4 linked regions of the Notamacropus eugenii genome follow. The protein of the gene in region 1 purifies or fractionates together with the protein of each later gene. This does not show direct contact. Links are inferred from orthologs where the notes say so. Each region holds a gene or a part of one and is shown on either strand. Other genes may lie near its edges.

What was found.
Region 2: the proteins of SLC30A4 (region 1) and PDS5A purify together in Homo sapiens (affinity purification with mass spectrometry; 3 studies listed by BioGRID and IntAct, counting the BioPlex papers as one, with this or other methods). This does not show direct contact. The link is inferred for Notamacropus eugenii from reciprocal best matches to the Homo sapiens genes SLC30A4 and PDS5A.
Region 3: the proteins of SLC30A4 (region 1) and FUT8 purify together in Homo sapiens (co-immunoprecipitation; 3 studies listed by BioGRID and IntAct, with this or other methods). This does not show direct contact. The link is inferred for Notamacropus eugenii from reciprocal best matches to the Homo sapiens genes SLC30A4 and FUT8.
Region 4: the proteins of SLC30A4 (region 1) and C4H19orf25 purify together in Homo sapiens (affinity purification with mass spectrometry; 3 studies listed by BioGRID and IntAct, counting the BioPlex papers as one, with this or other methods). This does not show direct contact. The link is inferred for Notamacropus eugenii from reciprocal best matches to the Homo sapiens genes SLC30A4 and C19orf25.

Annotation. Positions count from the first base shown.
Region 1 is NC_092878.1:52,001,192-52,008,915, forward strand, and holds the start of SLC30A4 (probable proton-coupled zinc antiporter SLC30A4), read left to right. Parts: upstream 1-4,452; 5' UTR 4,453-4,556; intron 4,557-5,870; exon of another isoform or gene 5,871-5,994; intron 5,995-6,167; 5' UTR 6,168-6,242; coding exon 6,243-6,630; intron 6,631-7,724. UniProt on the Homo sapiens protein: Probable proton-coupled zinc ion antiporter mediating zinc import from cytoplasm potentially into the endocytic compartment. Controls zinc deposition in milk.
Region 2 is NC_092877.1:94,007,803-94,015,472, reverse strand, and holds the start of PDS5A (sister chromatid cohesion protein PDS5 homolog A), read left to right. Parts: upstream 1-4,629; 5' UTR 4,630-4,650; intron 4,651-5,469; exon of another isoform or gene 5,470-5,612; intron 5,613-6,340; 5' UTR 6,341-6,380; coding exon 6,381-6,521; intron 6,522-7,670. UniProt on the Homo sapiens protein: Probable regulator of sister chromatid cohesion in mitosis which may stabilize cohesin complex association with chromatin. May couple sister chromatid cohesion during mitosis to DNA replication.
Region 3 is NC_092872.1:315,613,181-315,620,539, forward strand, and holds the start of FUT8 (alpha-(1,6)-fucosyltransferase), read right to left. Parts: upstream 3,061-7,359; 5' UTR 2,920-3,060; intron 1-2,919. UniProt on the Homo sapiens protein: Catalyzes the addition of fucose in alpha 1-6 linkage to the first GlcNAc residue, next to the peptide chains in N-glycans.
Region 4 is NC_092875.1:62,827,605-62,835,878, forward strand, and holds the start of C4H19orf25 (UPF0449 protein C19orf25 homolog), read right to left. Parts: upstream 3,264-8,274; coding exon 3,152-3,263; intron 1-3,151. Other genes in the region: CTD small phosphatase-like protein 2, read left to right, coding at 3,459-3,539, 3,729-3,791, 4,059-4,138, 4,464-4,590, 6,602-6,697, 7,524-7,580.

The sequences.
Region 1 (7,724 bases):
TGTTTCAGAGAAATATGGGAAGATTTGTATAAATTGATGCAGACTGAAATGAGTAGAACCAGGAGGAAAATTTATGGTACAACATTGTAAATACAAACAAATTGAAAAGATTTAAAAACTTTGATCACTGCACTGATTCCAGGGACCCTATTATGGGGCATGCTACTTATCTCCTGATGGATTCAGAATGGTGAAGAACTGGACATGTACCATGTGGGAGTTCATTTTGCTTGACTATGCAAGGGTTTCGAGGGTTTTGTTTTTCTTCTGGGGAGTGGGAGAAATGAGACAGGGAGAAATTGGATTTTTATTCATGGAAAAAATTGAAATAAACCTTAACAAATAATAATGCATTCCAGAATCTTTTTTTTTTATTACTTTTTTAGGATTGGATCTGTGATTGCATTGATATAGGGAACTTACAATAAGGAATCTTCCACAACCAATACAGATCAGCACCTGCTCTATCGCTTGTGTAGACTTTTGGAGGGTTTCCTGGAAGTTACCACAGGTTGAATGACTTGCCTATAGTCACATGGTCAGTAAGTGTTACTAGAAAGATGGTTCTTTATCAGCATACCCTGAGGACTCTCTAGAATTTCCCCATTTATCCAAGTCAGGCTCAGTAGCCTGTGGCATAAAGATCACATTCTATTCACTTTTTGAAAACCTGGACATCTAACCCTCTCTAATCCATTGGTACTTTTGCTAGTTTTCACAGTCTTGTAAAGATCACCCTTAGTGGCTCAGTACTCATACCTAGTAATACTTGCACCAGTCTAGGACGTAATCCATCTGGGCTCGATAATTAAAATATTCCTGAGACATTGTAACCTTCCAAGTCGCCTTCTAAATAAAGTTCCTCTTAAACTTTTTCCATTCGTGACCCCTTTTCCCTGCAGGTATATACAACAGGTACACAAATCAAACATTTACTGATAATAAATCATAAAGAAATTTATTTTAAAACAATTCTTTGGTATACATATAATTTTACCATTTATTAAAGACAAAAGCAAATTTGCATACTAATGAGATGGACGTGCTTGTTTATTTTACATAAAGAATTAAATCTTGGCAAAATATCTGATACTGCAGGACGTAGAGCATCTTCAATGTTTTTCAGAGTTGACTGATATTTTGATTTTATAATCATCAATGCTGAGAATGGTGCTTTGCATAAATACATAGTACAAAATGGCAGAAGTCTCTTTGAGCCATATCAGAAATTGTTGGAAATTCTGTCCTAATCCCAAGCCAAAATTCATTTAACAATTTTTTAGGATACAAAAGTTTTAAATCTGTGCCACTTGATAATTCAGCAGATTCTCCTTGAATTTTTAATGCCAGATGACTGACCATTTTTTTTTATTTCAATTGAGTATGGTTTATGAACCCAACTTGTTTTTTTAGAATCAAAATATGAAGGGAAGTATTTCTGAAACTATATCTCCAGGCACTTCAGATGATCATTTCTAACTCTTACAATTAAATCTTTGGGAAGGTTATTTTCAATTATAAAATCATCTGTAGCTGCAAACATTTCTAAAGAACCATTTTTCATCCTACTCTTCCACATGTTAACGTTTTTAGTAAAACTTTCAATTTTATCTTTTAACGTAAACATGCTACAATTTTTCCTTGAAACAACATGTTTAAATCATTGAGTTTTTTTAAATATCCAACAACACAGTTTTGAATGTCATAAAAAAATTAACAAAATCAAATTTCTGCTCAGTCAAAAATATAACAATTTCATCTTTCAGTTTCAATAATTGATTTAAATTTTGCCCTTTTGAGAGTCACATGATTCGATGTATTTTCCTTTTCTTGCCAATTTAGGTGTACTAAAACCTGGAAGTGAAGATTGCCACACTGTCATCAGTGTTTTTACCTCCTGTCTAAATTTCTCCACTCATCCATAACCAAAAAATATTTTTGCCTTAAAATGTAAATAAATGTTGCCAATAATTTCTTACATAAACGCTAGCTTTAGTTTCTGAAATTACATTTGTTTGTGCTTACTTTAAAAAACTGATGTTCACGTTTACATTGGTGATAGTGGAGAAATATTATTAAAGGGTTTTTGTCTTTACTTGCTACAATTAAACACTTATGTTTCTCTAAAAGAAGGAGATAACAGCAATTTTAAAATCATACATTCTAACACAATACAATCCAAATATATACTAACTTGATACTTACATGCTGAGGGATGATGGCAGGAAAATATTAAAAGTATTTATTTTCCATAACTATTATGTTTCTGTAAGAGCAGAAAAACTTTTACGTACTGTAAAAACACTGCAGTTCATAACATACAGTAGTCTCAAACCTAAGCCCAGCTGTTTCTGGCAGCGTTTATGGGCGTTGTGTGGTGTGATGTCATGTGCAGTATAAGGTGTGCATGTTGTTCCAAACCGAGACTGCAGTGAAGTCCCATAATGCAACATAGGCAAGTGCTGCAAGAAACGCCTTGGATTCATTACGTCTGCTTTTGAATTCATTTTTGTTGTGCATTCAGAAATCTTCTATTGTTGCCAAATTTTTCACAACCCCCATATTCAGTTATATGACCTCATATGGCAGGCCTGCCTGCACAACATACAGCCAATTTGCGAACTGCCACAGGATTTGGGTGGCCCACAAAAAATGTAGGTTTGTCACTGTGCACTCTCTAATGTTTGTCACATGAGCTGCAGCAACCAACCATCATCAGCCCGTCTGTCTCTAATCTAACCTGTCTGCAGCCTGAAGATGTTTACAAGTTGTGCACATCTGCTGTACTGGAGTGGCGACTGACAGTTTAGGAAGTTCTGGTCATAAATGATCAGAGAGAGCAAACTAATTTCAGGAAGACCTGTGTTCTCTCCTGCTTCCAACACACATTAATTTATGTGATGTTGTTTAGCATTTCAGTTTTGGCAACTCTCTAAGACTACACAGTTGCTGATATGCATTGCTGGATGGATTGAGGAGTCACACCTGGAGTCCACCATGCTGATGACGTCACAAATCCATTCTGTATCACCACCACCATCATCTCTCTGTCTCTGTCTCTGTGTCTCTCTCTGTCACACACTCACACACACTCACACACACACACAGAGTTTTCTAGATAAATTAGTTTGATTAGTTTTGAATGAATAAAGAAGAATTTATCAAGTACTCCGTATGTGCAAAGCACAGTGCTAAGAGCTGAGAACAGACACAGAAAAGTCAGCTAGCCCCTGCTCTCAAGGAGCTCACACTGATGGGGGAAACAGCACATATAGTAGGTTTGATCTGCAAATCAAATGGAAACGTCCCATGGTCTAAGTTAGGGTCCAGCAGCCAAGCAGAGGTCTATATCTCTTCTTTAATGTCGTTATGTTACCAGTTTGAATACTGGTTAAATCACGTGTGCCAGATATGATAAAGTTCAGTTACTCAAAATGTTCAGTTAAACACCCCATTCATCAACGCTGTGAATCAATAGGAGTTTGCCCGGCAAAACTAGAGATTAAATGCTTGGACTGTGTAGAGAGTAAAGGAATTTGGATTGCTAGTGGAAAATAAGGCGTAGCTTGCCAGCTTCACCTGACCCCTTTCCAATCTTGCTCCTGAATTGAAGATTTTGGGGGAGTGAAATAAAATCTCACACCCCCGGCTCTTATGGCAGTTTTGCTCAGTGAAGGCCTCAAGATGATAAGAAGGGGAAACATGGATAAGACAGAAATTAAGATAAATTTCTGATCATAATTCCGATGAGAGTTTAGGCTGAGGGGCCCTAAACAACCTTCTGTTGGAGGGCTGACAGAAGGGGATTAACCCTTGGGGCTACTGCTCAAGAACTAACCTCTCTCTTTGTAAACATTAAGTGCTAACTGTGTGCCCGTCACTGTGTACGGGTGGGGCTCTACACTTGCACAGATGGAGCTTCTCTCTTGTCATTTAAATGCACCCTCTGGTTAGTCTAGTGAAGGGAACAAGTCACTGTGGGCTGTTGAACTACAGTAAGTTCCCTCATCGGAGCTGGTTTTCCGGAAGGTCAGGTGTTCTCGTGTGATGCTGGATCTACCATCAAGAAAGGCTCCTACCTGCGCAATAGGAACCCTGGCTTTGTTAGGAGCTCACTGGCCTTCGTTCCAGTGTAAAGGAGTGGGCTTGGGGTTGAACAGGGGAGCCCCAGTGCGGTTTGGGGAGTGTTCCCCATCCCGGGGGGTCGGCATGAGCCCCTGGACCTTGCTGGAAGGCCAGGGTGCCCCTCGGAGCGTTTCCCACCGACGTGCGCTGCCTCCGAGGGGCCCGGTGACGGAGCACGGAGATGGGGGTGCCCTTCCCAGAACAGTCGCCCCGCCTGGTCTCACTTCTCTCTCCAGCCCTGAGACTCCAGATCCTCGCAGACTCAGAGCAGAGCTTCGTTGGAGGGGAAGCAGAGGCTGCCCGAGGTTCCTGGACCTCCTGCCTCCGTGACCCCAGCTGGAGGCTCAGCCGCCCAGCGCTCGGGACGCTGGCAGCGGCCAGCCCGGGGACCCTGGGGTTCGGCTGTCCGCGCTCGGGGGGTTCACCACCCGGTAAGCTCGAGGTCCAGAGCTCCAAGTTAGGGCGCAGGCAGCAGGAGGGAAACGCGAATGGAAAGCCGGCCGTGGCAGGGCGAGGTCGGAGGGGGACCCGAACCTGGCGGTCCTGCCCCGTGAGGGGGAGCCCCCGGAACGGGCTGCCCTTCCTGAGGGGCTCTGACGGGCTGCTGGGAGGTTCTCCGTACGTCCTCGGTGCCCCAAGCATTTAGGGGGCTCCCCGCTTCCCCCCTTTGGGGGTTCTGAGATGCGGTCCGCCGGGAGCCCGAGGGGAACGAGAGCTTTGGGGAATCGCAGCGCCCACCTCCGGGCGACATACGACGTACCTAAGCCCCGCTACTTGGGGCGTCCGCGGGAGGGCTGGGTCCGCGCCCCGAGACGACAGCGTTCCACGGGGGACAACTTAATTTCTGCCGCACTCCCCCGCGGGCGGGGCCAGGCCCGGGCGGCCGTCCTCTGACGCTCGGGGTCGGCCGACTGGCCCAGGGTCACCGGCAGGCCTGTCTCAGGGAGCATCCTCGGCCCTGTCGCCCCCGCAGTCGAGCCGGCTCCGCCAGCTCCGGGCCTGCTCCGTGACAGGCCTGCCCGCGGCGGCAGCGATGCGCCTTAGGACGTGCGCTCATCCGGGCGCACGGGTCCGAACCGGGACTGCCGGGGCGGGCGGGGGCGCCGCTCCAGAGGCCGCCGGCCGGAGGACCCAGCAGACACCGACCCTCCCCGCCCTCCCCCCCGGAGCGGGCGCCCCGGCTGCTCGGACGGGCTGGCGGCGGCGGCCTGGCTGGGGGAGGCCTCGCTCCGCGGCCGCAACTCGCGGGGCACTGGGACCCCGGAGCCCGCGAGCTGGGAGACCCCCTGGGGCGAGGGGGCGGGGCGGGAAAGCGCTCGGCCCCGCCGGGAGCGCGCCTGTTCCTCGGGACGGCGGGGAGAGCGCTCGGGCTCGGGCTCGGGCTCGCGCTCGCTCGCGCTCCCCCTCCCGCGGCCTCCGCCCAGCAGTCCCCGGCCTCTTCTCGTGCAGACCCCTCCCTCTCTCGTGCGGCTCTCGCTCCGTGACTGCCGCGCACGCGCGCAGCCCCTCGCCGAGGCGGAGCGGGGGAGGCGCCCGGGAGGCGCCCTCGGTCCGGGAGGCTGCGCTAGCGCAGAGACTGTCCGCCTCCAGGGGAGCCGGCTCCCGGAGCGGAGCGGAGAGGAGCGGAGCGGCGCGACGCTCAGGGCCGCGCGGTGCCCGCACCGCCCCTTCCTCGCCCCCGTGGGCCGTGCCCTCTTCGCTTCTGCCTCCCGGGGCTGGATAGAGAGCCGGGAGCGCCGGCCGACCTTGCTGCAGAGGGCGGAGCGCGGCGGCGGAGCGGGCCGAGGCGGCCGGGGAGATGCCTTCTCCCCCGCGCCGAGGCTCCGCGGCAGGCGTCGGGCAGGAGGGCTCGCCGCGCCGGCGCCCCAGGTACCGCAGCCGGGCCGGGCGGAGCTCCGGGAGCCCGTGCCCCGGGGCCGCCGCCGCCCCCCGCGGGCGCCCTCACCTTGGGGGGTCCGGAGCCCCGAGCGCCGTGGGGCGGAGCGGGGCGGGCGCGGGCGCGGTGGCCCGGCCCTGGTTCTGATTTTGCTCCCTTTTCCTAGGATGGGAAGGCTCGGGCGGCCGCGCCCCTCCTAGACCTCCGCTCCCAGTGAAGCCGAGCCCCAGCCGCGCCGGCCATGGCCCGGGCCAGCGTGTGGCACCGCCTGCGCTCGTGGTGGAAGCGGGACGACGCGCCCCCGTTCCTCAACGACACCAGCGCCTTCGACTTCTCGGACGAGGTCGGGGACGAGGACTTCCCCAGGTTCAACAAGCTCCGCGTCGTGGTGGCCGATGACGGCCCGGAGCCCCCCGACGGCCTGAGCGGCCCCCGCCTGGCCTTCCCGCCGGACGACGACTCCCTGCTGGACCAGGACGGGCCCCTGCCCGGCGGCCAGCTGGGCTTCAGGGCGGACCCTTGTGACAGCTGCCGCCGGCAGCGGGAGCTGCTGAGGCTGCGGAAGGTGAAGACCCGGCTGACCCTGGCGGGGGTGCTCTACCTGCTGTTCATGATCGGGGAGCTCGTGGGTGAGTGCTGGCAGCGGCCCCGTGCCCCTGCCCGGCCGGGCTGGCCCCGCGCGGCCTCCTGGAAGGCAGCCGCCGTCCGGTGAGAGAGGTGGGGGTGTTTGAACGAGCGGTGTGCCTCACTTCCTTTTTGGGGTTCAGGGATGCGGCCCGGCGCTAGCGTCCACATCCTGGTTCCCCGAGCCCCCTGTCAGATGCGCCGGGTTAGCGTTGGCGGGGAGGCCCCTGTCCCGGTGGGACCTAGACTGGCCTGGACGGAGCCCTCGGGGTGCCCCGGGCCAGCCCCCCGCTGGGCAGGAGAGCCAGGACTAGACAGCCTCCTGCACCACGCCCTGAGCGGTGCTGGTGCCTTCAGAGCCCTGCCCGGGGAGGGCACGAGCCCCCGACAGCAGTGCCAGGCTGTGTGGATTCGGCCGAGACATTGATCCTCTCGGGATAATGACAGCTGATAAGAACTACTGCTGGCTGTTCATATAATCGATAATGGCTCTGTGCTATTCGTGTAGCTCCCTTACAAACAATTCCGTGTATGCTTCCAAGAATCTGGGGGAAGGCACGGACTGTTACTGCCTCCAAAGAGCTGGCTGGCCCGGGGTGGGCCGCGGGGTGTCTGAGGCTGAATGGGTGAACTCCAGGTTCTGGACTCCTGCTGGCAAGTAATGGGAACGTTAAGGCGCTCCAAACGTCTTTTTTTATCACAGTTTTGATGGGCTTCGCTATAAACGCTTCCTGCAGCTTATCCTGTTAGGCGGGAGACGGAGAGTAGGGCAGACGTCCTAGGCTTTTGGCCTCCTGTCCGGCAGTTGCCCACAGCCGCTGGGCCAGCTGCTGCCTGCCAGTGCCTTTGTGCCAGCCGCCCCTCCAAGGCAGGTCTTGCTGAGTGGTGTTGGAGGAGGAAAGATGCTGCATTTTTACACGCGTGAAAGAGATTCCATTTCCACATGTCCTGTGGGATAAATGCCCCATGGTGCTGAAGGGTTTTTCCAGCAGAGTTGGTTCTCATGACTCCACTTCTGAGACACTTGACTCTGAGTCAGTTGGTTGGAAGCTTGGAGTCCAGTGTTATACCTAATCTGGGAAATGGCTGATGGCTCCTT
Region 2 (7,670 bases), on another chromosome or scaffold:
ACTCATGCCACCCTGCTTCATGTCATAGAGATCTCTCTGAAGTTTCCTCTCAAATTGTCTATTTCATCATTTTTCCGATCATAATAACCATTACACTCATATACCACAATTTGTTTAGTTATTTCCAATAGGTAGGTATCCCCTTACATTTCTACTTCTTTACCACTACAAAAAGTTGCTCTATTTTTTTCTACATACGGGTCCTTTTTCTTTTTCCTTGATTTCTTTGAGGTTAGAGACTTATCTGGGATAAAGGGCATATATAGTTGATGCCTTTTGAGATATACTTCCAAACTGATTGCTAGAATGGCTGGAACCAACTTATAGCTCCAAAAATGTCTATTTTCTCCCAGTCCATCTGAAGTACATGACAGTAACCTCAGTTATTTTAAAGTACATTTTTCTAACTTTTAGTGATTTGGAATACATTTTTATATGGTTACTGATATCTTGGAGTTATTCCTTTGATAATGTTTTGTTCATTTGACCACTTGTCAATTGGGGAATGACTCTTATTCTTATAAATTTGAACCCATTCCTCATATATCTTTGAAATGAGACTCTTATCAAAGAAACTTATTTCAGAGGTTCCCCCCCCCCATAACCTGTTTCCTTTCTTATTTTAATTGCATTAGATTTATTTGTACAAAAACTTTTAAATTTTATGTATTCAAAAATTGTCCCTTCGTGATCCTGTTCCTTAAGCATAAACTCTTCCTCTATCCTTATATCTGAAAGGTAATTCTTTCCTTGCTCTTCTATTTAATTTATACCACCTCTTATGTCTAAATAATATATCCATTTGGAGTTTAACTTGATATACAATGTGAAATGTTGCTTTATACCTAGTTTCTGCTAAACTATTTTCCTGTTGTTAGAAAATTTTTAAAAATCTATTTACATAAGCCCTTACTGCCTGTCCCTCCAACTGTTTCCCCAATGGGACAATAAAACAACAGTTTTTATCAAACAGTGAATTTCTAGCCCTCTTTTTCCAATTTACTACAAACCATCTTTGGTAACATTCTGCAGCCTACTCATAACCACCAAGTTATCTCCATTACCATTTGAATGATTCACAACTCTAATTTTTTTCAGATGACCCACAACCCTATATACAGAAGAGGCATTCTCTGTTAATGGTGAGGTCCTCCAGATGCTCCTTTGTGTGACATTGTACCGTTTACTTCATGCACTGTAATATCACAGAGCCTTGTAAATGAAATTCATAATCACTGAAAAGAATTTAGCCTATTTGTCTATACAGGAAAAACAAAGTGAATGAAGAATGCTTATTTTAAGATTACAATATGCAGTGGATGAATAACCTACAGAGTTGGTTCATCACTACATATTTCTTGGACAGACATTGCAGATGGACATAAAATTCTTGTGGCAAGGTTATGTGGCCCTGAACCACAGAATACCTGCCTTTAAAATTAGAGAGTATTTATGTTTTTTAAAAGATTGTTTTGCAGCACTAAGCAGGTTGGGATTGCTGGTAGTGCTATGCAACTTCCCAAATGTGATTTATATGAATCCTCCTTCTATGTAACTGTGGGAACAGTTCATTGTTTAAGAGCAGCTTAAAAAAACCTGATGCACACACATGTGTAAAGGAATATCCATACATACTAACTCAATGGATTATCTAATTGTATGTCATCATTTGGACAGCATGGACTCTTCTTTCACTTTGCTTTTTTTCCTGTGTAGATTGAAAGGCTGTCCTAAGTGTCTATTTTGAGATGATACAGTTCATAAGAGAGAGCTGAGTAGTGCTCCTGGGCTTGGAACTTTTAGTCAAAATTATATTAAGAAAGGAAATATACCTAATACAAACATTTATCTCTTTAATTTGAAGAAAAATAGCTGTGCTTAGATTTTGATGACATTGCTCTCTTCACAATATCCCTGTCATTATTAAGCAAATTGCCATCCTCCCAGTCAGCCAGACTCACAGTCTAGGTATCACCCTCAACTCCTTGCCATCATCCCCGCCCCTCCCCCCAAGATCCAATAGGTTAAGTCCAGTAGTTTCTGCTTTCTCTTCTGTCTTCTGCTCTCCTCTAACACTGACTCCATATTGGTATACCACCTGATTTCTGGAGTATTACAATCGCCTTCTGGTTGGTTTCTCAATTCCAGTCCATTGTCCATTCAGCTAGGGGGTGGGGGTGGGGGGGAGGAGGAGAGAGAGGGAAAGAGAGAGAGAGAGAGAGAGAGAGGGAAAGAGGGGGGGAGAGAGAGGGAAGGAGGGGGAGAGAGAGAGAGAGAGAGAAGGGAATACACATTTATAGAGGCAGGCACTATGTGCCGGGCACTGTGTTAAGTGCTTTATAAACATTTCATATTCACAACAACCCTGTGAGGTGGGTGTTATTATCCCCATTTTTTTTAAACAGTTGAGCAAATAGTAAGTTGCAAGTGCAGGTCTGATCATATCACTCTTCTGCTCATTAAACTCCAATGGTTCCCAATCACCTCCAGGATCAAATATAAAATTGTCTGGTGTTCAAAACCCTTCCTAACCTGCCCCCTGCCTTTCTAGTCTTCTTATATCTTACTCCTGCCTCTTCTGGTGTACTCCTTGATCTAGAGACACTGAACTTGCTTTTTTTTTTTCAACAAGATATTCCAGTTTATAAGTCCAGGCATTTTCACCAGAGCTTCCTCCTTCTTGGAATGCTCTCCTTCCTTACCTCCACCTCCTGGCTTCCTTCATGTCATAGCTAAAATTTCATCTTCTAAGGGAAGTCTTTCCTGGTCCTCCTTAAGGTTAGTTCCTTCCCTCTTTGATTACCTGCAATTTATCTTGTGACATGTCTTGTTTGCACATAGGTTTTTGCATGTTGTCTACTCCATTAGATTTTGAGCTCTGTGAAGCCTGGAATTGTCTTGTTTCTTAGATCTTAGAAGCCTTTCTTAGCTTCCTCTGTTCTTAGCACAGTGCCTTACACACATAGCAGGTGCTTAATAAATACTTTTTTACTTAACTGTGCATGCAGATTAATATCTTAGAATGCAAAGAAAAACTTTAAGTTACTATATGAAACAAAATTAGTCATTAATGTCTAGATCAGATCATACCGATTCTGACTTCATTTTTTTCTGTACTTGTTAGTCATTGGTGAATTTTGGCTGACAACTTTTTAACACCCTTGTCATATCATCATTTCTCTGATGGCATGGTCTTCTTTGGCAACAAAGGACGAACACAACAACCACTGTACTGTGTCTAAATGCATTATCCAGAGAGCAAATCTGGGTTTCCAGGAATACTTGGAAAGAGACTGGAAGAAATTAAAACATTAATGAGTTTCACAATAATTAGGGCATAAGAGAAAAATAAATCTCGGATAGGCCTAAAAATGTTATAGAAGAGATTCACATTTTCATAAGATAGGAAATAGATGCAGAGCTGTAAGGGATCTCAGAAGCCATTCTGTCCAACTCTTTCATTTCACCTACAAGGAAATCAAAACACAAGGAGAGTAAGAAACTTATCCAAGGTCATATAGGTAATAAAACAGGGGTTGAATTTGAACCCAGTTCCTCTATCGCATATTATTTTCTGCAGTATCGCATTTTCTTCCTCATAATTAGAAATACAACTCATTTGTTTAAGGTAAATAAATGTTAAGAATGAAGTGATCAGAAACATGACTTCAGTTTATCAATTTCAATAGGCAGCACTTTGGGATTAAAAATTTTTTTATCTGGTATATCATTAAATTAGTCTAGTTTTGATATAAACATACTTTTAAATTTTTTTTCTCATTCACTCTACTAGGAGACATGCTCAACAAGGTAAAAAAAGCTGGGGGTTTTAAAAAGTTTTGCACACTGTCATTTATGATAACCACCTTATAACTGCTTGGCACTGTGAGAGATTCTTCTATATCCATATATCTATAACATAGTTACCTCATATTAACATTTAAACGATCAAACTTAACATTCATGTGTATATTTAGATAGTTTGTAACCTCAGACTGCTCATTTAAGGATACAAATTACTGAGTTTAAGAATTACATAGAAAGATAGTATCCCCTAGTTATTTACAATGTAACAGGAGAACATATCCAAAACGTGGGAAAAAGTATTCAAGAATGAGTGCTTCCTTGTTAATGTAGCAGTTTGCACAGAAAACCATCTAAAATGATTCTCTGCCACCTTCAAGGGCCAGGAACAAAGAATTGTCCTCTGGGCACACTCAAAAATCAAAACTGATGAGTGTTAGGTGGGAGGATGACTCCGGCTTTGTGTTCTCCAGGACAAACCGAGTAGATGCTCAAGTACGTCTAATTTTAAGACCAAAGTAGAGCATTTGGAAAAATAGATCAATCCTAATAATCCCAGAAAAGTCGAGGTAGCCGCGGCCTCGCTGTCACCCTTTTCATTCACCGCTACGGTTCTCCATGCTCCCTGGGGGGTCCATCGGATGGTGTTCCTCAAAAGAAATCACTGAAATGCTGGAGCACGCTTCCTTCACACGTGGCTGCAGGGTGGGGGGCACTTCATCGTCTTCCCCGGAAAATACCCTCTGAAGCGATCCCATCGACCCCCGCCCCCTAAGCTGGAGCCCGCCGCGCCCCCGCCGAGGCCTTCATTCATCCTGGCTCGGTCTGCCTGGCACAGAGCTGTGGGTAAGTTTGCCTCCGCCATTAGGAGGGCAGGAGCTGTGGCGGTCCTTTTGTGTCCCCGCCGCGGAGCACATCGCGGGCGCTTAATAAATGCCCATGGCCCAAGTGAATGAGTGAGCGCCTGCTTCCGGAGCGTGCGGGGCCCCCCAGGCATCCCCGGGGAGCAGGAGGCTGGCCCCGGGGCCCCTTGCTCGGCTCCAGCCGGGCTCAGTCCGGGGCCCGCTCGCTTCCTCCTCCCGAGCCTGTGGGCGCTGCTGGTTTTGGCGCCAATCGGGAGGCGGCGCTGTCCGCAGGGCTGGCGGGGAGGGAAGGAGGGAGAAAGGAAGGGGAAGGAGGAGAGGAGAGGAGAGGCGGAGAGCAGCCGAGCGGGCGAGGCCGCTGCCGGGGCTGCTCCGGAGGAGGAGGAGGAGTAAAGGGTGGGGAAGGGGGAGGCGCGCCCCGCTCCAGCCGCCGCCGCGTGACCCGCGGGCCCCGGGGCTGAGTGCGAGCGGCCAGGCTCGGCGGGCGGCCCGGGGCGGGGGCGGGCTGACGGGCTGACTGACTGACGGAGGCGGTGGCGGGCTCCCGCGCCGGGCCCTGACGCCCTCCTCCTCCATGCACACATAGCGAGCGGCCTCGGCCGGGGCTGCCCTTCCTCGGGCCGACGGAGAGCGGCAGTGTCTCCCCGCGCAGCGCGCGCTCGCTCGCTCTCCTCTCTTCGCTTCGCCTCTGCCGCTCGGCTCGGCTCTCCCGTCGCCGACGCGGAGGCTTCTCCTCCCCGGCCCTGCCAGCCCCAGCACCGCCAGCCCCAGCACCGCTCCGGGGAAGGCGGCGGCGACAACGACGGCGGCCGCGGCAGGACCCACGGAGCCGCTTTGTGTGCAGCCCGAAGAGAGGCGGCGGCGGTGGCGGCGGCGGCGGCCTGGGCTCCACCTGCGTACCGCGACCCCAGCGCTCCAGGCGCCTCCCGCCCGCATGAGGACGAGGTAAAGGCGGCAGCGCCCGGGCCGAGGGGAAGGCCTCTCCTCTCCGTGGCGCCGAGCCGGGCGAGCGAGGCTCAGGGCAGCCACGGAGGCTTCCTCAGCCCAAGTTGAAGGAACCCCATGGGGAGCGCGGAGCCGCGGCTGCCGCTTCCTGGGGGGGGAGGGGGCTCAGTCCCCTTCCTTCTCTCTCCCTCTCGGGGCTCCGGGACGAGGGCGGGGGGCGGCCCGGAGCGGGCACCAGGGGCTCGCTGCCCCGGCGCCGCGGCCTAACCCCAGCCCCCTAGGCCTCGGCCTCGCTTTCTCCCCGGAGGCTGTCGCCCCGGCAGGAGGCTGGGCCGGACCGGGGAAGGGGGGGATCCCCTAGTCCTCTCCGCCCCACCCCCACCCCCTGGAGCTGCCAGGCTTCGGGCGTTGGTTGTTTTTAGTGCGGATTTCATTGTGAGATGCGGACCGAGGAACTCCAGGCGTTGGCCAGGCACTCCTCGGGGCCAGGGAGAGACCCCGCGGGGCCCCGAGGAGGGGGAGGAGATCCTTCTGGGGTTGTTGAGCCCCGGGCCCCGGGAGAGACCCTGCCAGGACGGGGGAGCACCTCCCCAGCTCCCCCCTCCATGATCCCTCTCCGTGCCAACCTCCCCGGAGACTGGGCCCTTTCTGATTTGAGGGGTTTTGAAATGAAAAAGAGGTTAGAAAGTCGTCCATTTCCCGCTGAACTTTTGTTTTCTGACCGATAGAGGCCGGTAGAGGAGCGTGGAAGAAAAGTTGTCCCCCAGGATGGACTTCCCCAGTGCACAGCCCAAGCCGCCCACGGCCCTCTGTGGCGTGGTGAGCTCTGATGGAAAAATCACCTACCCCCCGGGGGTGAAAGAGATCACCGACAAGATCACCAACGACGAGGTGGTCAAACGGCTCAAGGTACTCCCTGCCACGCCTGTCTGTCTGTCCCTCCCTGCAACTTGACAGCTTCCCGGGCAGAGCACCCCCCAGCCTGGGGGTGTTGGCTGGTCTTTTGTCGAAAAGCCTCTTTATAAGACCGGTAGACAAGCCTGTTCTATCATTTGATTGACTGCTCAAGCTTGCTTTTTTTTTTTTTTTAACGATAGTTGAATATTTCATCCTGTTCAGACATTGTTTTTCCCCCTAAAGAAAAAGATAGTAAGTGTGTCATCAAAACTTTGAATGATAGGGTCATGGTGTTGCATTGTGGGGAATTTAGAGGATTAAATCTTTCAGGAATGGGGAAAATGTCAGTTTTATCTTAGTAGAAAAAAGTTTATTTAAGTGTTTATACAAAAGAGGGGGAGGAAGTTGAATGGATGTTAGAGGTGGAATTTCAGCCTTAAGGTATTTTGTCAGGGCAGATACCTATATTTTTAGAATTTTTTTCATGAAATGATTTAAAAAATGAAAGTTTCTAATTTCCTGTAAGAAAACTAGCCTATAAAATTATTTTGCAAGATTGAATTTGTGCATTATTTGGTAAAAATAATACTTTTTTTTAAGATTCAATTTGGAGCAAGATGTTGACTTAAGTCCATGGATTCTGTGGGGTTTTAAGAAAAGTTCAATATATTGTATGTTTCTTTGACTAATTTGCTCAATTGACATGTTGTTTATGGGGCAATTTTGTATGCCAGTGTGTTTAATTCTGTTGTGAAGTTATAGGTCGTATCCCTACCCCTGGCCAGCCTGACATTCATTTTGCAGTTAGCTGTGGATGTATGGATACATAATTTGTTGTTACTACTTCTGGAAAAATAACTCAGCATTTATTGGCAGTTGGTCAGTCTTCATCTTAATGTTGTAAGGACTCCCATTCCTGTGGGAGTCCTTATAAAGATATATTTCCTCCAGGGAACTTTTTTTTTTTAACTTTTCCTCCACTTGCCATCCATGGAATCTGGAGATGAGTTTTACTAATGGATTTTATAAGTTCATTCTTCTTAGGGACTATTTTGGCAGAGGTCCTTGTGTTGTAGCCTTAAGTGGCAAGTAGAGGTTCAAAATGGATGTATCACAAACATGCAGTCTGAATTGGAAAGATCCTTAGACACATCTAGTTCC
Region 3 (7,359 bases), on another chromosome or scaffold:
TTTTGCTTTAAAAGTATACACTGATAATTATTTACGTAAAGCTTATTGAAAAGAATACAACCAACACCCTCAAATCTATCCCTTTGCAAATTAATATGCTAATATTTTTAAGATGGCTATCACCACCAGATTCTAGCCTTGATTTGGACTATCAGAGAAATAACATACTTCACTGGCTTACAGTTTATAAATCTAAAAAAATATTATAGACGACTAAATAACATTGCATTATATTCAAAAGGCACCAATTCAATTTAATGGGTCAGCTGGTTAACTCACTGCGCTATATTGCAGGAGGAAGCAGTTAGGAAGTGACCTTGGGATCCTTACTCTACAGATGTATGAGCAACCCAATTCCTCATCAAAAAAAGACCTATAAAGTTTCTGGAGACTATACAGATTACTCATGCACGTTGAATGCACTTGCTTATACACATTCTGATCTTTTAAACTATACCAGGCATGTGGTTAAAATTTCAAAATTATGGATTGGTTATTTTAAATAAAAGGTTATAAACTAGCACTAAGGACTTGGCAAAGCTTTACCTCTTTCCTTCTAGACTACAGACTTCTACTATATTGCACCAAGCACAATAACAAAACATGATCATACATTAAGTTCTTGATCACACATTCACAGCTGTTTTAAGTGAAAAATTAAATGTTTATTGTTTCTATTTGCTTTGCAAAATTTCACACCATAAAAACTAGAAAAAAAATTCCCACTATTTGTTCTATGGAAAACATACTTTCTAATACTTCTGATTAGTATTAACAAATAACTTAATATACAGAAAAATATGTGTTTTTCTACCTTTTTAATAATAATAATACTGGCCACAGGAAACGTTTTGGGCTTTTTAAAAGTTCCAACATAAATTAAGCTATACTTTGCTTTGGCACTAGCTCCCCCTCCAGACCATACTACTAATGTTGTAACTGCATTTAAGAAACAAACATGCTGCACTCACTGGTTGTACCAAGCCACTGACAAGTACCAAAATTCAACATTTTTCAAAAAATATCACATCAGAGTGCTTGAAATTTAAAAAAAAAAAAACCTGTACCAAAGAACTGCAGAAATTAAACAGAAAGATTCTTATAATCTCATCCATCTTAAACAGAAATGATATGCAGGAAAATACATCTGGACACTTACAAAATGATTTTTCAGTTAAATGCAAAAACTATTAAAAATAGAATCTTTCTACAATTCTACATTTCAATGAAATTAATCTAAATTCACTATTCCAATAAACTAGATTCTATCACTCCGTATAACACTTTCTACTTTTGTTTGCCTAATTCATTGCTTGATCAAAGATAAAGAAAATATTTTTGCATCTGTTTCTGCTATCTATGCAAGTTTCCTTCCAGCTGTTCAGCAAGCTCTTCAATTTAAGAATGCTGAAGTTCTAAAGCTGTAAAAGGAAAATGTTATGCCTCCAAAGCAACTTCAGTAGTTTTTAGATCCTTTTCATTCCTGATTGCCTAAATTCTTGAGAAACTAAACTTCTATGATTCACAATTTCAAATCTGGATTCTCTTAACCTTACCATTAAATGAATTACTCGTAAATCGTTAAGTAAATGCATTTTAATCTCCAAATTTTGTGCGATAATACAAAAGACTGGAGAAGCACTGATATTCACTTTATGGAATAGCTTTTGAAGGAAAAATTACTTTAGCTAAAGTAAAACCATAACTTTTTTCCAGTAAGCATAGAGAACCCCACAGTGCTTAAAAAGATTTAATTGCTTTAACAATATTTTCAACATAATACCTTTTAAAAATGTCACTACTTGAAGAAATCAAATATACAAACTTAACAAGAAAATAAAGAACATCTTTGATGACAAAAAAAACCTATTATGAAACCTACTTCCTTCATCCACTGGCTTTAAGCAAAAAATTAGCCAATTACTTGTGAGTTTATTTAAACTGTAATCGTCCTAAGGAACCCTAAACTGGCAATTGCAGGTCTACCGCTGCCGAATGGAAACTGTGACTTCACTCTCCCCAACTGGCTTAAATATAGTACGTGGAATTTTATGCACCTTTTTTTTAAATTTTCCTACCACCACCACCCCCAAACATAAGACTCAACCCTAAAAAATCAAACCAAGGTTAAACCCAGATGTGGCCAGTGCCGCCCAACTTTAGAGGAGTTTTATGCAGCGGTTCTCGGAGGATGAGCGTGCCAGAAGGTTGCCACCCCCAAAGTGAATTGTCAGTGAATAACAGGTGAAGCACCGGACCGGGCACAGGCTCCCAGGCAGGGCAAACCTCCCCACTAAAGATGATCAGCTCTTCTACCACCACCCCCAGACCTCCAGCATTCACTCAAGTTACCAGCACCTCTCCATTAAAAGGAGGTGGGAGCACCCCTCTTGTAATTAAAGAGAAGGGACTGCTCTCTCCTTCCTCCCCACCTGGGGTGGAGGGGATCTAGGGGCAGATTCACTCCCCCAATTTCCATTCCAAGCCCTGAAAGCTCGCTCGGTGATGCCCACCGGCCCGAGTGCAGGAGCTGAGTGGGAGGTGGAGAAGGGGAGGACGAGGAGCCCCCCCAACCCATCTCCCTTACCCCCTGGGCAGGATGCGCTCCTCCAAGGAGAGCAACAGCGCCCCTCCCGCCCCAGACAGGAGACGCCCCGGCCCCACTCACCCCAGGGCTCCCACACCTGGAGCTCCCAGAGCAGCGCCCCCACCAAGCCCCCAGCTCCTGGGTCCCCCGAGGGATAGAGGAGAAAAGGGGGAGGGGAAATCCTTTCCCCGGCTCCTTCCGGGAACCGCTGTTCGAGAGGCAGCCGCAGGCCCGGGAGGAGAGAAGCGGCCCCAAGTCCTCGGGTTCCCCGGCTCCCCGCGCTTTCCCCGGCGCCAGCCCCAGCCCCGCACGACGCCCCGACGCCCCCTTACCCGTGGAGGGAGGGGAGGAGGGCTCCGGCGGCTCGTCTCCAGCCACCGCCACCTCCGGCCGTCGCTGCCCCGGGCAGGGGGAGTGGGAGTGGGAGGGGTGGTGGCGTGGAGGAGGATGCTACTCCCGACTCGGGGAGCAGAGGAAGAAACGGAAACAGGAACCGCCGCCGCCGCCGTTTAACGGAGCCTTCGGCGCCACTGACCGAGGGGGAGCGCGAGGCGGCGCGAGCTGGGCGGACGCTGACAGCGCAAGCCGGCCACTGGGCGCGCGACCCAGAGCAGCGCGAACCCCATTCCTGGGGGGGGGAAGAAGGGAACGGATGGTGGGGCGGGGGTGGAGTGCGGGAGGTTGGAGAGGCTGGGAGAGCTAGGGGAGGGAAAAAAAACCCTAGGCGAGTCAGCCGGAGATAACGCGCGCACGCGCCGGAGCGGCTCCGACGAGAACGCAGGCTGGGGGAGCCTATGATAGCGCAAGCATGCGCGCGAAAGGGGCGCGCGCCCCTCTCCGTTCAGGGCCCGGCAAGGGTGCGCGTGCGCATGCGCCGGCCGCTGCCACCTACGGCGACCCTGGCATGTGCTGGGGCTTCTACTTCTTCCCCACTGCGTTTTTTTCCTCTTTTTTCCCACTCTCGGGTGGCGCGGCAGCAGCGGGAACATTCACGTCCGAGCCAAGTGGAGAAAATACTCCGAGACATTTCCGCAGTTCATCAGCCACACGTGCGCATGCACGCCTAGCCGAGCTGTAAAGGAATACGCTGTATTCATCCTCTACGAGACTCCCAGAGTACCCAGGAGGCGCGAGGAAAGGCTGCCCTGGGCAAAGCCAGGACTCCCTTGGGAAGGACACGCCGCCTGGGCTTTGCAGTGTTCTTTCCGTCTCCGGAAAATACAGGCACCTCGTGGCTCTGCGGGGAATAGTGGGCTGCTTGACGTACTTTGGCTTGGGCAGTGCTGCATCGGTCCCGCGGGACCCTGGTCCGCCGGCCCGACCACAGCGTGCAGCCTGCATTGCTAGGTGAGACATCCTTCTGCCCTCCCTGGGGTTCCATTGATTTAGAAGTACAATCCGCCCAAGCTCCCCTTCATTGTGCGGAGGCAAAGACGTTTAGGGGACACCTGGTGTGAGTTTCCTTCACGTGCTCAGGAGCTCCCCAGCCTCGCTTGGAAAAGCCCCTGGTAAGGGAGCAGGACCATCGCCACCTCTGGCGCTGCGAAAGGTTAAAACGACGCAGCCTCCACCACGCACACCTAAGGGAAGGGGCATCCTCTTTTCCTACAAAGCTCCCCGCCCACCCAGACATTTAAAAGTCCCGTAGCTGGCAAGTGAAGCGAGCAACTGTTCGCAGCTCCCGAGCCCAGCCGAGTGATGGGCTGCCTCCCCGGTCCAATCCGAGGAGTAGAGCCTGGAGGAGGGGAACTATAACTGCCCAATGAGGGGAAGGATACGAAAAGCGAGGGGTGCGGACCCGACCAATCAGAGAGCGAGAGAGTCTGAGTGGAATGCGACCGGCCCAATCAGAGACCCGGGTACCGTGGTCCTTTTCCAAACTCTGGCCTGCGAGCTCTGGAGTGCAACATCCCTGACTCTCGGAAGGGCAGGGATGAGTTGTAGAAGAGGAGGTCATTCCCTCGCTTTGAAAATGGGAGGCTGCACGATGTGATCAGGGTCGGCGCCCAGCAGAAAGCAGCTCCCTGGAGATGTTAGGTCCATGTGTGTAATCCTTGAAGAAAGGGTGGGCTTCAGATGGAGTGGCCCTCGGGATCAAGCCGCCTGCCTAGTAAGGAGTGTTGGATTCACCCTCCCAAACCTTCATGTGATAATCACACCCCCGGCCTCTAACTTCCAGTGCCTTCCACTAAGTATTTTACAGCCATTTTTAATGAGTTATGATTAAGAGGTGGAGTAACTTCTCCAAGGTTCTTTACAGCCAGAACTGGAATTGTGAAATTTCCAGACTAGCGTCTCGTAGCGCAGCTGGTGCCTCCGGCTACTCCGAGCTGCCAGACTGAATTCCCCACCCTTACTTCTCGTTCTTTAGAGTGGATCTGAGGGGGAGCAATTAAGTCCCTAGGTCTACAATAACCTTTCTAGAAGGCTGAAATGAAATGGTATTCTTTTACCATCCTTGAGAATGGCTGTAAGCCATTCATTAACAAAAGTTTTCCTGTCTGTGCCTCAGTTTTCTTGAAAATTTAGGGGGTGACTTTCCCCTGTTGGAAAAAAAAATGTTGTAACTTATTGCTTTTTGGTTCAATTATATCTTGGTTCACTTCCACAAGCGTTTAATTCCTTTATCTATTGTTTGTGAATTAATTGATCGATTATTTTAATTATAGTTGATTAATTTCTTTGAACGAATGAAGCTTTAAGCGCTTAACTGTGTGAAGAGCACTGTGCTTTTTTTTAATTTAAATTTATTTAAATTTTTTAAAATGACAAAGTCTCTACCCTAAAAAGGGATTTTACAACCTGTTAGAGTTTGAAGGGGGAAGGGGGAAGATGGAATAGAAAGAACCTTCTTGAAAGAAGGTCCAAACAAAGTAAATACTCAAGGAAAATGCCAGGCGGATAGAAAATTTGTCAAAGACAAATGTACATCTGAAGGTAACGTATGTTGCACAAACTTGGACGCTAGGTGGCGCAGAGTGGATAGCGTGCCAGGCATGGAGTCAAGAAGATTCCCTCTTCCTGAGTTCAAATCCGGATTCAGACACTTAATAGTTGTGTGACCCTGGGCAAGTCACTTAACCCCTGTTTGCCTCAATTTCCACATCTATAAAAATGAACAAACCATTTCAGTGTCTTTGACAAAGAAAAGCCCAAAAGGAATCAAGAAGAATTAAAAATGACTAAACAGCTACATGTATACTAAGTAGAAGGTACAAAATGAGGATGAATGTTGGTATAATTCCCATCTCCGTAGCCCTTTAAGGTTATAAAGTTCTCTACATACATTATCTTATTTGAGCCTCACCAGAACCCTGTGTGATAAGAAGTTATTACATTTCAATTAGCTTCTCTTTTACAGAAGAGAAAAAAGTGTCAGAAAAAGAATTCAGAACCTGGCCCTTCCTGACTTCCAATGCACTGCTCTTTCCATTACAGCAAACAGTATTACTACCTCCATATGATTTGAAATTTCCCCAGGGATTTGAGTCTAGGTGTGGCAACTAAATTTCTGTCTAGCAGGGCTGTGCCTAAAAAGGCCTTCTTGAAATATCCCAAAACTTAGTGACTGTTCTCAAATCAAGAGAGGGACAGTTTAGCATAATGGATAGAGAGTAAAACTGGAAGAGGGGTTAGTTTAAGATCCACCTCTGATACATGCTAAGAAAATCTCTTTTCTAGGCAGGCTTTAAAACCATAAGTTGCAAAGAAGGTGCCAACCTAAGTTGGTAGAGGGAGTTTTGAAATTACATACAGTCCTTGTTTCTTCAGTAGAAAAGTAACATTTGAGAAGAAATTTGATTTTTGAAGTTCTCAGTCCAGGAAGCTTTACTTACATAATCCACTTATGACTGCAGTCATACTGACAATAATAATAGCATTTATAAAGCACTTTAAATATTTCATTTATCCTCACAACCACCCTGGAAAGTAGATGCATTTGTTATCATCCCCTATTTACAAATGAAGAAACTGAGACAGGATGGTTAAGTGACTTGCCCAGGGTCTCACAAGTATCCCAAGGCCTAGTCCATCAAATTCTACCTAATGCACCACCTAGCTCCCTTAATACCTCTTCCAAACAACAATCACAACGTTTAAAGTCGCATCTAAGTAACTCTACCAGACAGTAATATTTGCCAGGACCTTCCAACATCTTGTATCTCTTCTTCCTCAGGTCATCCTTTTCTTTTTCTTTCTTTTTCATTTTTATTTTTTGCAGCCCCAAACCTCTCCCTCTAAGAGTCAGCTTGCTATCAGTCTGATTGTCCTAACTAAAGAACCTAAACCAAAATGTGTTTTTTTCTTCTCTTCACTCACATTTTAGCAAATTGTTCAGTATATGTTAATAGCTTGAAATGAAAAAGGATAAAGCTTCCATTGCAGTGGCAAGAAAGTAAGGCTTTCAATCTGTCTTAAAAAGGTACAGTTATACTACCATATCAACCTATTGGTTGTAAACCTTCAACATTTTTCTAATGCTAGAAGTTACTAGCTGATTAACTGCTTGCAACCAAACCACTTAACCAATTCAATAAGAACTTAACCCACCTCCCTTTCCTCAAATCCCACCCAAGTGTAATCATTTAAGGATTTAGTTGAAAGTCTCAGCTAGAAGACTCACGGGGATATTGGATATGGAGGTTTTAATTATATGTAAGTGGCTTTGGTGATCTATATAAGTGAGACTTTAAAAATTCAAATAAGCCTGTATCAGCTAAATAGTTAGCCTCTGGGCTGAAATGTAAAAGTCCAGGGTCTCAGCCCACTTA
Region 4 (8,274 bases), on another chromosome or scaffold:
CGGGCACGCGTAGTTGCGGGGAACTTCTTCCCCTCCCCACCTCGCGCCCCCTGCTGGGAGACAATGGCTTGCATGATGGAAGGGGGTGGGGCAGAGTGAAACGTAGGCTCGTTTTTAGGGGCAGACGCCGTTTTCCTTTCCCTCTTCCTCCCCTGGGCCTCCCTCCCTCCCTGCCTCCCTCGTAGGTTCTTAGAACTATAAATTGGGACTTGAAAAGGACCTCCCCGTTGTACAGGTGAGCAGACTGAGGCCCAGGAAGGCGCTACTTAGTCAATACCTACCCCCTGCCTCAGTTTCCTCATCTGTAAAATCGGGACCGCGCTGCACCAGGCCGTTGTGAACAGCCTCCCTCGGAGGCGGATGAAGCGGGCCGCACACCTGGACGTGAAGGACCGGGACTGAGGGCTAGTGTTATCGTATCACCGTATTCATTATACTATTAAGGGAAGCGCCGACCACAGACCATCCGGGGCTGCCTCGGGACCCCAGAGACCCCGAACGAGGACCCAGGAAGCCCCAGCGCCCCTCCACAGGAGGCTGCGGAACCTGGCTCCGACACGAAGCCCCGAATTCAGAAATGAAGGAGAAAAGAGGCGACCCAGAAAGGATCCTACCATACAGGCGTTGATGCAAACCTGGAAGAAGCGTGACTCCACGACACAAAGGCTCAAAGAAAAACTGGAATTCCTGGGGAAAATAAAGCAAAAATTTAAAAAGGAAAAGATCACTAATAAAACTCCATTGCCTCACAAATAAGAAAACTGAGGTCCGGGAGAGGAATAACTCTTCCAAGCCTGAGTAGTCAGTCTGAGGCAGAGCCAGGTGTCTTGACTCTGTCCTGAGCTCTCTCCCCAATAATGGATCAAACCATCCCCTCTGCCTCCATAAAGATTTCTCCTCTCTTATATCCCCAGCTGCTAACCCTTTAAATAATCCTAAATACTGGGCTGAGGATGAGGAGCTGAGCTCAGCTGAGCTCTAGGTACTTCCCAGTCAAGCGTCCTCCTAAACTAAGTTTCTTCTCCTGTTTTATAACCACCTACTATAGCTGTCCCTATCCCTTTTTTCTCTCCTCCTTCTCCTTGGCTAAAATCTGGTTGCTGTGGACAGATCTAGTCTACAGTGGGCACTAGAATAGTTTCTTTGGGATGCCTAGTTCCCCTTCCTCTGAGCCCTGGTAGCTACCTGATGAGGCTACCTTGTGGACGCACATTTTCCCAGGCAATGAATGGAAAATGTTAGTCATTTAAATTATACAGTGCACTCGTTATCAAAGGAGAAGTCAGGATACCTTCCTTCCAGTCCTGGCTTTGCCACTATGTTTTCTCATCTGTAAAATAGGGGGGAGAGGGTGAACCAGAGATCTCTAATTATCTCTTCTGCCACTTTAGTTTAAGGGTCCCTTCAGTCTTAAGAGCCTGTCAAACATCCTTGGAGCCAAAGGAGCCCTCCTGTTCCCCTAATTATGACTCCTAATTATCCTTCAGCTTCTAGGCCCCACCTGACTGATCCAGACCCATGATTCTTCGTTCTGGGAAAGTGACATTCACGTCTCCCCAACCATTGGGAGACACTGGTGTTCTGGAAGAAGACAGATGGCCCTGTGTCAGTCCATGCTGGCAACTCCAGAGGACAAGGGAGGCTTCAAGGCCACTAGAGAGAAGCTGGGAGTGTGAAGCCAATACTCAAGAGGCCAATGGTGAGGTCCACCTCCCTAATCTGGGGCAATGCCAGGTATTGAATATGGCCCAGGAGTCATCAAGCAAGAGGAAGTGGACAAAGGCATTTGAAGAAGAAGGTGAGGCTTCAGGTTGAAGTTGGGGCAGGGACATGGGGGCTTTGACTAAAAATTAGGCTTCCTGGGGAGGGAGGCTGGGGCTATCAAGAAGGGGCACCCTGGGCTCCCTGCTTCCTTCTCCAGAAAGGCTTCCTTTTCCTTTAGCCCCCCAGGTCCCTTGGAGTCAGCCTACGACCCCAACCCCCTATTTCTCTGTTCCACCAGTGGAGGAGACCTTACCTTGCTCACTGTGAGTACAATACTGCTATACATCTCAGAACCTAAGCAGGGGCAGGGGATGGAAGAAGGTCCCCTATGACATACAAATGGCAGGAATGTAATCAGGGATATCTTTTCATTTGAATTTTTATTACTCTGTATGGTTTTTTAAAAAATTTATTGATACATTTTGTTGCAACACAACAGACTTCTCAATAAACTCTTTTACAAAGGATGTTCCCCAAGAAACAGTTTATCAGTTAACAGGAAAGAACAGAGTGGTGCTAACACTAACCATTGTAATTGACAAAGATTTTGTTTTTTATCTCTTCACGTGAACATCATTTACTTTTCTGAATTTATTGTGTGAGTTCCCATCCTATTCTTGGGACAGAGACAAAAACTGGGTCTGGGACTTCATTGGTGTGGGGAACTCCCAGGTAGGGTAACTCCCTCCACCAGTGTTAGTCAGCACCTTCTCTGCAACTTATGGTTTTAGTAAATTGCCTAAAATACAGAGAGATTAAAATTAGGGTTAGTTACTTGCTCAGGGTCACTCAACCAGTGTCTTTCAGAGGCAGGATATGAACCCAGCTCTTCCTAGATCCAAAGCCTACCCTCTATCCTCCACATGTCCTGTCTAGTCCTTTCTTACTGTGCAGCAATGACCCAATTATATGCATATACTACATGAAAGGCTGGGCTTGGAAGCAGGAACGTTTGGGTTCAAGTCCTTCTTGTGATACATACTAGCTCTGTTACCTTGGATAATTCTGTAGGGTATATGAAGTCATTTGTAATCATAAAGAGAGTTCCCATGCCGAGCAATGCCCATGATGCCTAAATCATTGATCACCAGCTTATTCTGTGCAATCATTAGACCCATAATCTATTTCTGTTTTTTAATCATAAATAATGTCATTATGAAACTGTTGATCACTGACGTTGCAATAAATGACTTAATGTGTGATCTCTAGAATTTGTATCCTAACAGGATATTACTTTAACCCAAATAATAGAGTGCTTTAATGGTGGAATTTCAGTCAGAGTGCTTGGTCGTTAGAGGAGGTATTTTGGGGTTGGAGGATCTTCTCAGTCCAAAGGTCTAAGGAAAGGAATAAAGGCAGCTGTCCAGTCTTTCTTTGACCAGCAGACCAGACATATTGAGCTTTTCTTTCTCCTCTAGCAGCTCCATCACCCCTTGTCCTCTGTACCGAAGGAGACTCTGGCTTCGGAGGCTAAACATCCCTCCAAAGACTCGCAGCATGCCAGATAGTACATTGGTCCTGGAGTTGGTATGTGAATCAAGGCCTTGACCCTTCCCTTGGACCCTGACTTCAGCCTCAGTCCTAGCCAACTGTTGTCTCTTCCTTGTCACTGGCTAGAGCTAAGACCCAGGGGAGGGGTATAGAAGAGCAGGCCTCATTCCCTTCCTCCAGCCCAGTTCCCTCCTCAGGATGATATGCTGGTCTCTTGCTCCCTTCGGGCTCTGCCCGATGCCCACTTCTCCTTCCCTGTGAGATTCCAAGGTATGTATTACAAGGTGAGTAGTGTTGGTCCCAGGGTGGTGGTTATGGATGGTTTGGAGAGAAGCCCTGGAATGTCTGAGCTAGAAGGGACCAGAACTCCTGGTACCTGACAAGTGGGCAGCTGGGCCCAGCCAATGTCTTTGGCTGACAAGTGAAGACACCCTAGTCATTGCTTCCAGTTGGTACCTGCTGTTGGTTCCCAGGTGCAGGGCAAGCTGCGGCCCCACACCCGTGAATTCCTGGAGATCCTGAGTCAGTTCTTCCAGGTACATTTTTTTCCCTCTCCTCCCTCCCCCCACCTCATGGTTCACATTCTGCTATCTGTAAACCAGTCTGACAGAGGGAGGTTGGGGTGGGATGGGTCAGTGAGTTCTACCTTCTAGTTGGAGGGGAAAATCTGAAGGATTTCTGGGTCATCCTAAGGATTACATCTCCTTGCCCCATCTCTAGGAATGCTGAGGGTGAGGAGCAGTCAGACCTTCAGCCCATCCCCCTCATAATTCCCTATTCCCCACCCCCCCCCCCCACTCTAGATCATTATCTTCACCACAGCTAAACGGGACTATGCAGAACCAATCACAGATGTCCTGGATCCCCACAAGAAGTTGATTAGGTGAAGCCACCAACTCCCCACTCTACTTGTTGACCCTTTGGCCCCACTACAACCCGATCCTTTATCCACATAGTCCAGTGGAAAGAGCACTGGACATAGGAGTCAGGCAGGAGGCTGTGTCTTCTCTTGGCTTGGCAACTGACTAGTGTTACTTAGAGCGAGTGACTGCCCCATTCTGAGCCTCTGTTTCCCCCGTTTGTAATATAGGAACAATCATCCTTCCCCTCCCTGCCCAAGGTGAGGTTGTGAGAGTCCTGGAATAAAGTGGCATCCAAACCAAGGGGTGTTTGGAAGTCAGAGGGTGAGGGTTTTGTTTGGTCCCCAGGGGCCGCCTTTTCCAGGATGACTGCATCTGCCTCCAGGGTCACTATGTGAAGGACCTGAAGGTGCTGGGGCAGGACCTGACCCGGACCGTGGTCCTCACTGACTCCCTCAAGGCCTTTCCCTACCAGGTAACAGCCTTCTCCCCTCCACCCCTCACCACCACCATGGACAGATCTGTCTACATGTGGAACAATGAACACTAGTGGAAAGAACCCTGGATCTGGAGCAAAATCAAAGGCTTTTAGGGTTAGGAGAGACCTTAGGTTATCTAGCTAAACCCCAATATTTCATACATTAAAGAAACTGTGATCTACAGAGGGAAAGAAGAAGTCAGGATTTAAACCCAGGTCTTCTGACTCTAAAGGGTTCCCCACCCTTGCTGGAGCATTGGGTTGAATCGAGTTTGATGATCTTCAGTAGGAATAATACACTGGTACAAGATGGAGGAGACCTGCTTAGGCAGCACTTACACTGGGAAGGATCTGGAGAGGTTTAGTGGGCTGTCAGTCAAGCATTTATTAAGCACCTACTATGTGCCAGGCTATTCTAAACAATGGGATTACAAAAAGAGACAAAAGATAGTGCCTGCCATCAGTGAACTCACAGTCTAATAGAAAGTCAACATGAGATAGTAGTATGATATGTCAGGGGAAAAAAAAGACCCTCATGTGTCTTTGAGCTATACCTTCTGCCCTCATCAGAACTCATCTGCAGCATTGCTTTGAATTCTGGGCACCACCATTTAGGGATACCAGTTAAGCTGGAGAGAGTCCAGAGGAGAACAGGTAGAGTGAGAAAGGATCTTCATGTCTTATCAGTTGAAGAAACTGGACATATATAGCCTGAAGAAGACAAGACTGAAGGGGCTGATCCGAGTATTTGGGGGCTGTCATGTAAAGAGGGAATAGTTTATCCTCAGAAGATAGAATCAGGAGGAGTGCTGGAAGTTGAGGATGATTTAGTCTTGAGTTCACCAGGAGCTGTCTAGAATGGAAGGTGACCTGGTTCCTTCTCCTTGTAGGTCTGCAAGCAGATGCTGAAAAACCTGATGTTCTGTGTGGTATTTATAGGGGTTCCTTTAGTATGCGAGATAGAGTGGACAGCTACTGACATCCCTTCCAGCTCTCAGATTCTGTGATACACAGAATCTATCCCAAAAAGGCAGTTGTTCTAAGACTTTTGGTATATTACAAAAAAACTCTGGAAGACAAGATATTCATAGCAGAGCTTCTGTGGTAGGGAAAAATAAACTGCAAACATAACAGATGCCCATCAAATGGGAGATGACTGAACAAATGAACGTATGGAGAATATTATTGTGCTACGAGAAATAACAAAGATAAGGAATTTAGAGAAATGGAAGACCTAAATGAACCCATGCAGAAGAACCAGGAGAACAATGCCTACGATGCTGATGTTAATGAAAACAACAGTAAAGCACTATTCATAATCATTTCAGTGACTAATTTTTGTCCTGGAGAGAAGAGGAGAAGGCATACTTCCATCTTCTTGACAGAAAGGTGGGAGGCTAAGAGTGTCTAAGGGCACCTAAGGGGTGCCAGAGCAGCTAGGGGGTGCAGTGAGTAGAGCTCCTGCTCTGGAATCAGGAAGACTCATCTTCCAGAGTTCAAATCTGACCTCAGACACTTAGTAGCTGTGTGACCCTGGGCAAGTCAGGCCAGACCCTGTCTGCCTCAGTTTCCTCATCTGTAAAATTTGCTGGCAAAGAAAATGGCAAAGCACTCCAGTGTCTTTGCCAAGAAAACCTAAAATGGGGTCACAAAGTCTGACACAACTGAAAAATGGCTGAACAGGGTGGAGGAATATAGTGTCAGCTTCTTTGGGTAGGTTTCGTTTAACTTTGCCTTTGTTCAGTGGTATAGTGGGACTTTTAAGGACAGAAATAAGAGTTGTCTGAGGGGTGGGAGGATGGGTAAGAAAAAAATGAAACAAAATATAAAGGAGTTAGATCAGCTCATCTTAGGAATGAGACCTCATTACCACCATTCACTCATATACAGAGTGGTAACAGTCTGGCCTTTGCTGCCCTCTGGTGGTCATAAAGAGAAAATTGCCTAAACTGGTCAAAGGGAATTATTAGGTGGGAGAAAGATATCCCATCCTTTGCGTGTCTTCCAGATGGACAACCAGCTCTTGATACCCGGATGGCAAGGGGACAGTGAGGACCAGGAGCTATCTAAGCTTCTGCCTTTCCTAGAACGCCTAAGTCACTTGGTAAGGAAATAGTGGGAATGGGACAAAAAGCCCCCTTTGAGGACTTGGCCCAATTTCTCATCCCCTCCCCACTTCACTAACTGGACCTTCTATCTCATAGGTTCCCAACGTGGGAAATACTGCCCCCTGGAAGGCACTGGATGGATGGGGGGGATAGTAGCCTCTGGTGCAACTGGGAGACGTGTTGAATAAAAATAAGGGGGGTGGAAACATAAGGAGAAGAGAGAAGAAAATTTTGAAAAACTGTTCGTACATGTTTTATCTGTGTTGTACAACAGAGTTAAAGTCACAGTGGTTACATTATTTTCCAAATCAACACACAAAGTGCAAGTTATAACCAGTTAGTCAATGGTCAAGTCCATGGACAGGTCTTAACAAACAAGGTTTGGCAGGCAAGCATATTGCAGGTTGTTAGAAGTCCAGCATGCCTTGGCAGGAGTGTGTGTGTGCGTGTGTGTGCGTGTGCGTGTGTGTGCGTGTGTGTGTGTGTGTGTGATGACTTGTTTATATTTCGATACTATATGGTTATATTATGTCATCAAAATTTCAATGTGGGAAAAAACCACAAATTTACGATAAATTATTACATTTAAGATGCATCATTTTAAAATATATGTATGTTATATTTTTTTAAATGATGAAATTTCAAAAAAAAAACTGTTAAAGGGTTAAAGAAAGTAGATTTTCAGGGGTCTCTGAGTAATTTTTTTTAAGGGGCAGTAGGCCAAATAAGTTTGGGGACCTCTGTTCTATCTTCTCACTGATTCCCTAACCATCCAGTCTTTATCCTCCATCCAGTGCCTCTCCTCTATACGTTGTCCCATAGGATGATGTCCGACCAGAGCTCTGGAGCGTCCGCCCTACCCTGAGCACAGAGGAATGAAGCAGGCCTCCCTTCCCTGAGAAGGTATGTGTGCATCTGGAGACACCCCTCCTCCTCCAGTTGCCCCCAACCCCTCAAGATACAGACCTCTGGTGGAAAGAAAACAATTTTTTCTTGGGTTTGGTTGTGCTCAGTCTAGGTTCAGGTGTAGGGCTCCAGCGAAATCAGGTAGTGAGACCAAGGGAAATCAGACATCTTCACTAAGAAATGAAATATACTGCTTTATCTTCTGTCCCCTTCCCTGTATTTTCTTAGAGGAACACAGGCTGGGGCTAGGGAGGTGTGGTGAATAGTGGTGGGGGCTGAGCCAATGCTGGGGTTTTCACCTGGGCGGGCACTCCTCTATTATGCTTTGTTTTATCTCATCTAGCAAACATGGCAGAAGAAGGTGGGTGCTTTCATTTGGCTCTAGGTCATAGGATATATTACTGGGTCCAGGGTCTTGTCCCTCTGTGATGAGTCAGGGTTTGTCAGAAAGCTCGAGGTAGAAGAACTTATAGAAACATAAAACCATATCCAGGTGGAAGAGGAACTTAGTGCATCCTCTTCCTTTTATAGAAAAAGGCAGTGACTTGCCTTTGATCACTAAGCTCTTCCATGACAGAACCAGTACTTGAACCCAGGGTTTTCTCAAGGGACACATTTTTTCCATCAGGGTAGGGGAGCTACACCTGGGCCAGTTGTGTTCTACGAC